Linked DNA regions of Tribolium castaneum. The protein of the gene in region 2 binds, or shares a complex with, the protein of the main gene of each other region. Links are inferred from orthologs where the notes say so. Each region holds a gene or a part of one and is shown on either strand. Other genes may lie near its edges.

Evidence for each region. Proteins that work in one complex are often made in the same cells at the same time.
Region 1: the proteins of fu (region 2) and Su(fu) are in contact, whole or in part, in a crystal structure (PDB 6LPH), measured with the Drosophila melanogaster proteins. The link is inferred for Tribolium castaneum from reciprocal best matches to the Drosophila melanogaster genes fu and Su(fu). Residues at the interface, in NP_477499.1 of Drosophila melanogaster: Phe371, Val372, Ser373, Asn375, Ser376, Asn377, Met378, Ile379, Leu380, Asn381, His382, Met383, Asn384, Asn386, Phe387; in NP_536750.2 of Drosophila melanogaster: Leu18, Ile22, Pro33, Asn34, Pro35, Leu36, Gln37, Val38, Thr39, Thr40, Leu41, Leu42, Asp50, Tyr54, Met57, Arg127, Thr130, Trp131, Ala133, Asn134, Gln137.

The regions. Positions count from the first base shown.
Region 1 is NC_087397.1:4,507,853-4,513,600, reverse strand, and holds Su(fu) (suppressor of fused homolog), read right to left. Parts: upstream 3,796-5,748; 5' UTR 3,550-3,795; coding exon 3,401-3,549; intron 3,179-3,400; coding exon 3,086-3,178; intron 3,042-3,085; coding exon 2,634-3,041; intron 2,583-2,633; coding exon 2,181-2,582; intron 2,130-2,180; coding exon 1,850-2,129; 3' UTR 1,573-1,849; downstream 1-1,572. Other genes in the region: uncharacterized protein LOC107399185, read right to left, coding at 1-163, 228-937, 988-1,181, 1,234-1,234; Lrrk (leucine-rich repeat serine/threonine-protein kinase 1), read left to right, coding at 4,011-4,064, 4,114-4,311, 4,366-4,531.
Region 2 is NC_087395.1:1,159,826-1,165,724, forward strand, and holds the start of fu (serine/threonine-protein kinase fused), read right to left. Parts: upstream 3,865-5,899; coding exon 3,697-3,864; intron 3,649-3,696; coding exon 3,535-3,648; intron 1-3,534. Other genes in the region: centriolar and ciliogenesis-associated protein HYLS1, read left to right, coding at 4,095-4,248, 4,300-4,641, 4,690-4,862. UniProt on the Drosophila melanogaster protein: Probable serine/threonine-protein kinase; maternally required for correct patterning in the posterior part of each embryonic metamere. May be involved in control of cell division during metamorphosis and ovarian development. May interact with costal-2.

The DNA of each region.
Region 1 (5,748 bases), on a different chromosome or scaffold from region 2:
AATGTCCTCATTTTCATCCCTCCAATAAAAATATTTTTTATCCTTCAGGGCTTCAGACAAACTGTCAGTGTCCCTATATTTATATGGGCATTTAATTTCGAGAATCCCATCTTCTTCCACTAATCCATCAGGACTTGCTCCCAAAAAGCCTGATTCTTCCAACCTACAAAAAAAAGTAATATTACATTATTCATCTAAGTTATACGTGTTAATTATTTTCGACCTACCAAAATCCCGTCTCTTGGACTTTAAGATTCGTCGCTTCTTCAAATTCTCTGAGCGCTGTCTTCTCGTGGGTCTTACCCCACTGCACAGCAGCAACCCTGTCAAGCGAATAGCCTTCCGCCAAATTTTTAAATAAAGAGGGTGGGAATCTTCGTCTACTGCAAGCAGATAGTACCATGCCAAACCTGCTGGCCGTTAAACGATGTTTCCTTGCTACATGCCAATTTTCGTTAACATGTTGGCCCCGAGTGCACGCCTCAACCAGTTTAATGCGTGCCTCATCTATTCTGCACTTCTCCAAAAGAAACTTTTGTTTGTCTATGGCCTGCACGTATTCTAAGCTTTGTAGAATTTCTTCGATATCTGCAATAATTTTTCTGGCTTCTTCACTTGCTTCTGGTCTTAGGAGCCAAGTGAAGCCCACCACATTCGTGACGCCTATTTCGGCACGGAACTGAATAATTTCGTCCTCAGTAGAGGACCTAGACAGTGCCGTATAGTTTGATAATTTCGGCTTGTAAACATCAGCTAACTTAATGACTTCTGTTTGTGGTGTTGTTTTTGATGGGGCACTCCACTGACACTCAATGTCAGTAGCACTTACATTATAATGAGCATAATATAATGCTGCAGCCATATGATGGCAAGCCACGTTGCCCCTTGGGCAGGTACAATGTGCCGTCTTAACCCCTTCTTCTAGGTCATATGAAATCTAAAACACACTTTGTAGAAGAAATGTCTAACAGTTAAATAAATACAAACCTCCACAGTATAATTTAGCTTTTTCATGCTCGGTAGAACTTCTGCAGAAATTCTCATCGGTTGTACTGTGCCATCAAACCTAAATTTGGTGACGTGACCGCTGGTAAAAGCATTTTCTCCCCGAACTAAAAAGCGATTACCGTCCCCAAAAAATTTCGCAATAAAGTGAAACTTAACAATGTGCTTTTCTGCCACTAAAATGCATAAATATAATAGTTTCTCAAAGTATAATTAAAGCTTACTCACTTTCTCACCGACAACGTGGTTCCCTGTATTCTTTTATAAAGTTCGTATTTTCACAAAAAGTCACTTCTAAATTAAATTAAAGTCTCTAGTGGCACAAATTACACCCGCTGCAGCTATTTGACACGTTATTAACGCACAAACACAACCAAAAAACCGAAAAACGTATTACACCACATGTAAAAGACTGGTTGTTTAGCTTTGAGCAACTGACCTACCGTAATAAGAGTGGGGAGGTGACGTCACGACTGATAGCGCGTATGAAGTAAATCAAACGACTTAATTTCACAGGCCATTTCGATAAAAAAATTAGAAAGCATGGTATAAAAATAAAAAACCTAATTCAAAAGAAAGCATCTTTATTCGTTTAGAATCAAGTGGGACAGTTTACAGGTCTATGGTACATAATATGGGTTACTTTTTGTACTTTAAATCCGATATGTATAGCATATGGGGGGTTGTTCTATTTAAGTTAGGTAATAATAAATAATGTAATAAATTAATTGAGTAAACCTAAGATAAGAAATATGCCTACATATTGCTTTTGATTATTTCGTGAGACTAAGGCTAAATTAAACCTATTTTAGTCTTATTATGATTAATGAGATAACTGTAAATACTATAACTTGTCCGCTACAATAGTCACAGATAACTTTTTGTCGGGCCATGAGAATGTTTTTGGTAAAGAAAGCGCCTCTGGAGTGGCCAGAACTTGAAAAGTAACCGCCATATCCTGAGCTAAATCGTCGGTAATAAGTATTTGTAGCCATGAACCCTGAGCTACATAAGGGTGTTCTGAGTTCACCAACGTCCCTGTAACCGTACCTGCCACTAGTGTTATGGCAGTTTCACCCAAAACTGACTTAAATGTGAAATGTCTACCATGTCGTACGCGCCCCCTTTTCAAAAATAAAAAATAGAAACAACACCAACACGTAAAATTCCCTCACCTGATGGCCAAAGGGAGTAAACTCCCAGCCTCCAAATTAAAAACCAAATGGACGCCCTCTAATTTCTTTATGTGCAACAACTCAGTTGACTCGTCCATTTTGAAATTGGTGCTACTGGAGCGGTTTTGTTCAAAGTTGCCACTCTGTAGCGGTTTTTGAGGTGAATTTAACAGAGTTACGTCCTCTTGAGCTTGGAAATTGTCACAATCGGACTTTTCTTTCAAATGCATTATGTCAATACGAGCAGGGTCTTGCTCAACCCATGAACACCTAGCGCTGACTCCGCTCAAATTGGAGCCCTCTAACTCAAACCCTCGCTCGACTTCCTCGTGCGCGTTTAAATCAAGCTCAAAAATGCTCTCCCCTCGCCTCATATCCGTGATAAACCAAGGCCCCCCAGCACTAAAACCCAGACTTAAGTTTTACGAAAACGTGATTGGTGGTGCGATTTACGACGGTATTCTAGTTATCATATCAAGCACCCCGGCCCCGTTCCACTGCTGGGCTGCTTTCAGCTCCTCGGCGCAAATACCAACAATTTGGACGAAATCGACAGAACCAAAAGGCGTCTGTATTGACTTCAAATGCACGTCTGTGGTCATCAACATGTGCTGTATTCGTGACTCGCTGCTATCTAACGCGCAGTGCCAGGAAACGTGGTCACCAGCACAAAGAGTGTTGCCTGACTGAAAAACGTATTTCGCTAAAGATTGCATTAAAGTTGCGGGCCAGGTGGGCGGTGCCGTCTCTTCAGGCTCCCGTTTTAGCCTAAATGTTAGCTCAAAACCAAAACCTGAAACACCATTAGCTCCTGACACGTCGTGCACTCGCCCGTCACCGTGAAGGTCTGAGAGACCAAAACTAAAATTTTCGTTTATTAAATATTTCACTTAAAAGATTGCTACCTTATGTAGTGCCAATGTGGAGGAATGTTTTCTTGTGGAATGCCTGGATTTGCATACATTGATATGTAATCTAAAGGATCGGGCCCTCCCAGCCTATAAAAAAGTATCCCCTCGTTTAAAAATAAAATAGGTCAGCTCCCCTGTTTACATACAAGGGAAGCAGACAGAAAAAACAGGAAGTGACTATAAATAGAACCTGAGTCAAATTTTAATTTAATGGAAATTTCGCACAATTATAAGCCCGGCAATTGCCAAAATAATTACATGTACGTTAAATTAAACGAATTATGTAATTTTATTGCAAAAATCACTTGCCAGTACTTGATGAGGGCCGTGACTTGAAGGGGGTTGGCTTGATCGGGGTAAATTTTCCTACATAGCGTGTACAAAGACTCCAAACCTGCTGGTGTCGGTGGCAGAATGTTCATTGGGGGTCCATGGGGCAGAGCAGCAGCTTCATTCATTGTTCTATTGGGCCCCCCCAACTTTAAAACTTTACAAACCAACACCTCTACTTACTAGAAATCGGCAGAAAGTATTATATTTAGCCGTTTGTTACCACTTTAGAACATTTTACACTTCCGTCCAGACCAATAAAAGAAAATATTTCAAGAATGCAGGAACAACTTTTAGGCAACCCGCCAAACAAAACAAGAGTAACCTGGCTCGGTAACTCACCAAACAGAAATTTCCCTAGAGCCCGTTCGAAAAGTGGGTGCAAGGGGTGGCTTTTGGCGTTGTTAGGTTGCTTGTCGTTGCGACAATTAAACTAACCTCTAATCCAGCAGTCAAAATAAGGACATTTTTGTATTTCTCAATCGTTGCGAAATTATTATCGTTGAAACGCTTCGCGGTTTTTGCACGAAATTGTGTTAGTTTCCGCGTTTGTGTAATGTAGGTGTTGGGAGCGTTATCGATCGCCACAATGTTGGATTCTTCGCCTGAAGACGAAGATTTTCCAGGCCGGCTCCTACACCAGGTTCGTTCCTTTAACTAGTTAATTTGCAAAATTTGATTGTTGTTTTAAGGCCGCGTTATGGGACAACACACATTTACTCATGGACTTGCTAGAAGGGGGCCAACAGGCCTTCCTGAACTCGCAGGACAGTTGGGGGAGAACCCCCCTACATGCAGCTGCTATTAATGATAATTCAGGGTGTTTGACAATTTTACTAAATGCAGGGGCCGATCCTAACATTCGGTGCGGCCCAAGAGGCGACCAGAAGGTTTGTTTTTAATTAATTTTAGCAGTTGTAGGAAAATAATTGCTCTCGTTTTAGATTCCTTTGCATTTAAGTGCCGAACATGGGCATAACAGTAATGTCTCAATTTTACTGCAGCATGATTCAGATATTCAAATTCTGGATGCGAATGGAATGAGTGCTCTCGATCTGGCTGAAAAAGCGGGGCATGTGAAGTGTGTAACACTATTGAAAGAAGCTGTGGGTAAGTAAATAATCCCTATTCAATTTTTTTCTCAGGGTTATATACTGCTCAACGAATACTTATTGTCAGTGATTATAAACTCTTGTACAACAGGACATTATGTAATATAATGTACATAAAAAATGTACATTTTCTGAGTGACTTAATTTAAAAGTATTTGTATGTCTTGGAACACTTTGTAGTTATTATTTAGATTAATTTAAAAGCCGGAAGAATACTTTCCAACTTTTGTTTTTATTAGTGTATAACATTTTTTTATACAAACTCTCTACTTTGGAATTTTAAACATACTGTGACTGATTAACACAACAAATAAAATTGGCCAAAATAAAAGTGAAGACGCAATAAAAAAATGTTACTCAAAAGTGTAAACTTTGAGACATATTAATAAAATTTGCCTAAGTCACGAATTACATGCTGTATTTGTGTTTGCATTAAATCTCTATCAATTAAATTAACGGAAATACCTTAAATTATTAGATAAGCCAATTCTTTTTATAAAACAGTGTCTATTTGTACTTAAGATTAAATCTTAATACAATTTTTAAGACTTCGTTCTACATAATAATTTTGCTACCAATTTTGTTTGTGTGATCAACTAAGCCATTTTTTAAAACATTTTTTTTAAATTGATGTAATTAATTCATTAGTAAAAGTATTTTACTAATTATGCTTTTTTTAAACGGATTAATTAAGATGAGTACCTAGGAAGGTACGGCACTAAATGAGAATTTTTTCGGGTTATTCTTGATTACATAATCCAGTCATATGAACACTGCAAAATTTTATCTATTTAACTACGTTTAATTATTATTTTTATTTCGAGATTTTTGTCATAATATTGTTGCTCAGAGTACAGTAATTACTAACTGGTAATTACAAGGCTAGTTTTTATATTTTTTCCATTTTTAAAATTAAGCCGTACTTAATTTGTATGTATAACTGTATATTTAAAAAAGAGGCTCATTGCTCCATGAACTTTGTAAATTAATCTAAGCAGGTGTCATTTTGGCTCTCGTGGCTGCAGTTATCTAATTTTAATTTAGTTAACGGACTCGCTATTGACGATAAAGTATTGAATAATGTTGTTTTAGTTGTGCATTATTAATGCACTTAACTTCAATTCACACAACATGCAAGTAAAGTGCTATAAAATGTTATCGACGTCGCGACGCTTATACGTAAAACGCATTATGTAAATCATATATAAAAATACG
Region 2 (5,899 bases):
AAATACTCAGCGTACAAGCTTTCGGGTGTAACGTAACGCCCTGCTCTAGCCCCATTTCTGAGAGTCACGTCAGTGATTCCATCAATAAGACAGGAGACTGCATTCGTTCCTGTTATGTCACAAGCCTGCAACAGATTTAATTTCCCAAAATAATATTGTGCCCAGGTTTCACCATCTTCCTTCACCCTATTCACTAGCTTACGAAGTGTGGAAGCATAATCGTGGTGATCGGGGAAGGTGGCTTGTAACAAACGTTTCCATTCATCCCAGCTCCGGTCGTATGCTGAGGGATCGAGATTGTCGTACCACTCCTTGGCCAACCCCTTGAGTCGACTTATCATGCCGTAAATCGTTGTACGTTCGTCCCAACCGTTCACGAGAGCCAACTGGTCAATTTTATGCAACCACTTAGTGGTACTAAAATTGGGGTTTCCTGGAGCGAATTCAGGAATCAGGTCACTTTTAATGCCAACTTGTCCTGATGTGTGCTCAAAATTGCGGTTTAGCAAACGTCGATTCAAGTTTTCCACAAGTTGCTCAAGTCTCGCGATTCTAGCGGACTCGGCCGAAACTGGGGGTGAATTTACTGTAGTGGAGACCCCAGGCGCGGACCTTTTCGGCCGTGGCTCATCGTCACTTGAGTCCGAGTCGTCCGAGTCCACATTTCCTCGGTACCTGTGACGCCCCATTGCGAAAATCTCATCAGAAAACTTTTCGCGCCTTTTGAGCCACACCCAAATGAAAATTGACAGCGTGTGGTTGCGTAACTCCTAGAACTCGTCAGAAATCAGAAAAATCAGATAAATTCGGCTAGCACCCGATTGATTTGTTCGATTTCAAGTAGTAAAACACAATTTTGTTACGAATGAAACGGTACAGATTCCCAAAACTTCAATTTTTGGCCCTTGCCTTGGCGACCCACAAATTCCTCACAAAATCACCACAATTCACCACTCTCTATCGGAAACGATTATTTGAGCAATATCCTACCGCTGCTCTGTAAATGAAACTCGGAATTCACCCAAAAACTAATTTATTAGCAAATTAGATTCAACAACGACATTGACACTTCCACAGTGTCCTTCCAACTAACTAGGCGTTGCCCGTACGCGCCTCACGCGTCATCATTTCCCGCCAATTTCAACAGCAGCGCCCCCTTCACTTAACAGACAGAAGGAAAAAAATGGTGAGACAAGCAGTCAAACGATACGAAAATAGAAGAAAACTGAAAAAATAATAACTTCATTGCGAACAAAAATTCTACAAATAATTAAACATAAAAATAATTTTAAATATGTTGGGGGAATACTCAGATTGTAACTGGTTTCCTGATTTCAAATTGTGTTAGATTTCTGGTGTCACCACAACTCAGTCCTGCGTAATTCACAAACATTATTTTTCAATTTTTGTAAATTTAAGGATAATTTGATTCACTACTAGAATAGCCGACAAGGAGCAATTTACTTTGATTTTTTATTTATATAAAAAAATTAACTGCATCTTGTCTCTGCTATCCCATTTAATTTATTAAATCATACTTAAATAAAAATAACAACAGACGTTGAACAGTGAATACAATTTTTTGTAAATGTGATTGTTGGTATAAAAAGCATTTTTCTAAAATCACCAAACAAAATTTTTGCACAGTTTTCATCAAATTAACACGAAAATCACAAGATTTGGTGTTGGTTGCCTAACATTTATACACTATATTGAAAATCTTTGTTTAAAAAACGAAAAGAACTTAGTAAAATATAAGGAAAAATTGTCTCTCTTTATTTGGTGTTTCAAACAAAAATTTTTAGATCGTCTGATCAACTGATTACAACAATTTAATTTAGCAACAAGATCATTAATAGATAATAGGCAAAAATAATAAGGAAAAAACAGTACAAGGAAATAAAAATTGTTTTACGAAATTACTTGAAAGAGAAAATAAGAAAATAAAGAATAACCAATAAAGACAAAAAATCTAAATTTTAAATAAAAAAATAAAAAATTGGAAAAGATGGCCTCAAAAAACATTATTGAAAATGTAAAAAAAGGATGATTAAGAAAAAACTATATAGAATAGAATAAAACTGTATAGAACTATACAGGATGCTCAAAAACTGGCGCACCAACTCAGTGGTACGCTGTTGAGAAGCATGTGTAGATCACGGAAAAAATCTTGAAAAAATTCCTAATGTCATATTTTAAAAAATATGGAGCTACAAACTTATTTTGTAAACTTCTTCAGTTTTCATTATTTTTTAATAGTTTTATGTTTCACACTAAGTAATCGTTCCCTAACACAACAATGAATAATTATTTTTAAATTTCCTATCAGACTTTAGCAGATTTTTTAATTAAAAAAAATAAAATTCGTCAAAAAAATCACAATTTGTAGATGTGTCAACATTGGGAATTATTACTTAGGAAACCGTTTCAAAAATAATTTATTTTTATTGTTGATTAAGTTCTATTGCGATCATCACTGTTAGACAACGTTGCCACATATCATCTAATTAAATATAATTAATATTTATAATTATATATATTTTTTATAATATATATATATATTTATAATATATATATATATATATATTATATATAATATAATTAATATAATTATTTATCAATAATTTTAATACAAAGAATTTTTTTACTAATTTTACCGTTATATGTAAGCAATTCTCTACCATATTCCAATAAGTTGGTGCGTCGGTTTTTGAGCACTCGGTAGAATAGAAAAAAAAGAACAGAATAAACCACAAACGACAAACTACAAAAGACGAAGCCATAAACTGAAGACAATATAATATGAAAGAAATATAGCAAAAGGTAAAAAAAAACAAAAAGTAAAGCAATGGTAATATGAAAAAGAAATGCTAAAGCAACGAATAGAATAATGTCGCAGGAGAAATAAACCCACAAAATTAAAAAAAAACAAAATAAAAAAATGCAAAAAAGGCATAAAAGAAAACACACAAAATTAAACGAAGATAGAAAGAAAAAATTATGAGACAAGCAGTTAAACGATACGAAAATAAAAGAAAACTGAAAAAATAATAAAAAATAACATGAAAAAATGTAATTTCATTGCGAACACAAATTCTACAAATAATTAAACATAAAAATAATTTAACATATGTTGGAGGAATACTGTTAGATTTCTGGTGTCACCACAACTTTTTACAATTTTTGTAAATTTAAGTATGATTTAAATCATTACTGGGATAGCAGACTAATTTACATTGGTTTTTTATTTATTAAAAAAAAAATAAACTCCATCTTGTCTCTACTATCCCATTTAATTTGTTAAATCATACTTAAATAAAAATAACAACAGACGTTGAACAGTGAATCAAAATTTTTGTAAATGTGATTGTTTGTATAAAAAGCATTTTTCTAAAATCACTAAACAAAATGTTTATACAGTTTTCACCAAATTAACACGAAAATCACCAGATTTGGTGTTGGTTGCCTAACATTTGTACGGTACATTGAAAATCTGTTTAAAAAACGAAAAGAACTTGGGAAAAATTGTCTCACCTCATTTGGAGTTTCAAACGAATCAAGCATTTGTATAATATTGGGATGATGCAAATGTCTTTGAATTTCACATTCCCTTCGTAGACCAATTATTTCCTTGTTCGATCTTCGACCCTAAATGAAATAAATTTGAACGAGTTCGAGCCTCAGTTTTTAACTCACTTTACAGATAACTTTTAAGGCAACAAAAGATGAATCTGCGATTACTTTCGCTTTGTAAACTCGTCCAAACGATCCTTCGCCCAATAATTTAATAACTTCATACTTGTCCATATCATTTTTTACACTTGGAGAGGATTGTTTTTGTTTACTTACACTTCCGCGTGACATTTTTTTGACAATCAGATGTTTGTCACGCTGACAGGCAGGGACACCAACCCTCGTGAAAGTAACTGACTGGGTGGAAAGCAATTTTTTGCAAAGAAATACCAATTTTGTTGATAAAAATGATTTTGTGATTAGCAGTGTTTAATAAAATCAACGTTATTGTGAAATTAACCAACTGCGAGGTTTTGTAACACTTATTTTATGTCCCCACTTTTAGGGAATTTGATTTTCGTATGTTGCCTAGAAATTTAAGGTTTTGTTTCAACGTTTTCTTATTTTTTTTCTTAAAAATGACCACAAAAATAAGCCCTAGGGAAGTATTAGCGTATTTAAATGACTTGGGTTATCACAACATTAACCCACAACAATTGAAAGAATTTGTTTACGGTTGGTGAGTCATTTTTTGTTACTTTAATTGAACAAAAGTTTGGTTTTCAGACTTGAAAAAATTGATAAAGTATGAAGAACGCAAGAGAAGCAAACAAAGCCTTGGAAATGAAACAGATGTGCCGAACGAAAACGAAAAAAATAAAGATGATGTGTTTCTAGTTTTACATTCACAAGGGACTCACTCTTCAAGAGCCAAAACAGTTTCAAAGAAAGAAAGTGTAATTTCGTTAAAAATCAAGACAAGTAAAGGACCACAACACCATTGTCACGAAAACACGTTGGAGGCACAAACAGCCCCTGAAAAGGGTCAAGAAGACACGCTTGACTTTGTGCCCGTTAAAGATGTGCCTTGGAAAAAAATGATTAATTCTAGCAAACCTAAAAGTTCCTGTAAGTATTTTAAAGTGTTTGTAAGTTTTTTTACGTTTAAGCTTGTAGTCATAAGACCGGGAATTCAAACAAATATTAATAAGAGTGACCCTGTCGCACTCTACCACCAATATCAAAAGTGTTGGAAGCGACAAAAAATTCCAGGTGAAGACAACAGAACCGACTTGAGGTGGGCTATTAGAGAAAAAATGATGAGTGGACCTAGAGTGACAAGAGCTTGATTTTTATGTGTATTTTTACGTTAAAACGACCAGTTTTATAATAAATTGTTACAATCATGTCGTGTTAAATGAAAATGACTTCGTGCAGAAAATCTAACCTCTAAATAAATGTAAACAAAACGATGGCGGTAATATTACAAAAAAAACTTTCAAGATTTATAAAATCGACTTTGACGACATTTGCTTCTCCTGTTTATCTAGAAATTGTCCCGCAACTGTTTTTATGATAAATTTCGAGGGGGCTGCCTTGTCTTCCATACTCAAGGATATAATCAAGTGAGTCAAAAGTTGTGTAACTACTGAGGTCATTACGATACGCGATTTGCGTATCGTAATATCTAATGGAGTATAATATTTTTCTATTTTTTAATAGTTTTTTATCTTCCTTTCTTTCTATTTTCAATACTGTCTTCTGCGGCCACATTTTTTTCAATTTTTTATTCTTTCATTATTCTTTATTGGTCTTTATTAGTTATTTATTATTTTCTTATTTTCTCTATCAATTTTTCTTTCCTATCTCTTACTGTTTTTGAACAAAATCACAAAAAAGAGATTTTACTTCATAATTTTGATAGTTAATCAAGTAGACCTTGCAAAATGGTCAACAATAATGTTAAACTTCAATATTTTTTTTAGTTTTTTGCTGGTTTATTATCGAACAAGCAGTAAAACTATTAACATTTAATTATGGTTTATTATAACTTAGTGAATTATGTAAGGTAACTCAATCAGTCTGGCATGGCATTTTGAACTTCCTGAATGAAAATGGTAAACAAATCGAACATTTTTTTTAATTAATAGCACAATTTTTTCATATCGAAAGTTTACTTGATTAAAAATGAAAATAATGAGCTAAAATTCAGTTTTTAACTGTAAGAGATAGATATAGAAGATGTTAATAAAAGTCTGCATAAAAATTGATGTTCTTTTGACTACCATTGAAAAAACATGGTCATTCCATTTGAAGAAAACCGTTTTCTAATCTTTTTTTAATTCCCTAAATTTCGAAATTAATTTTTTTGGTACAAAAAGTGCGC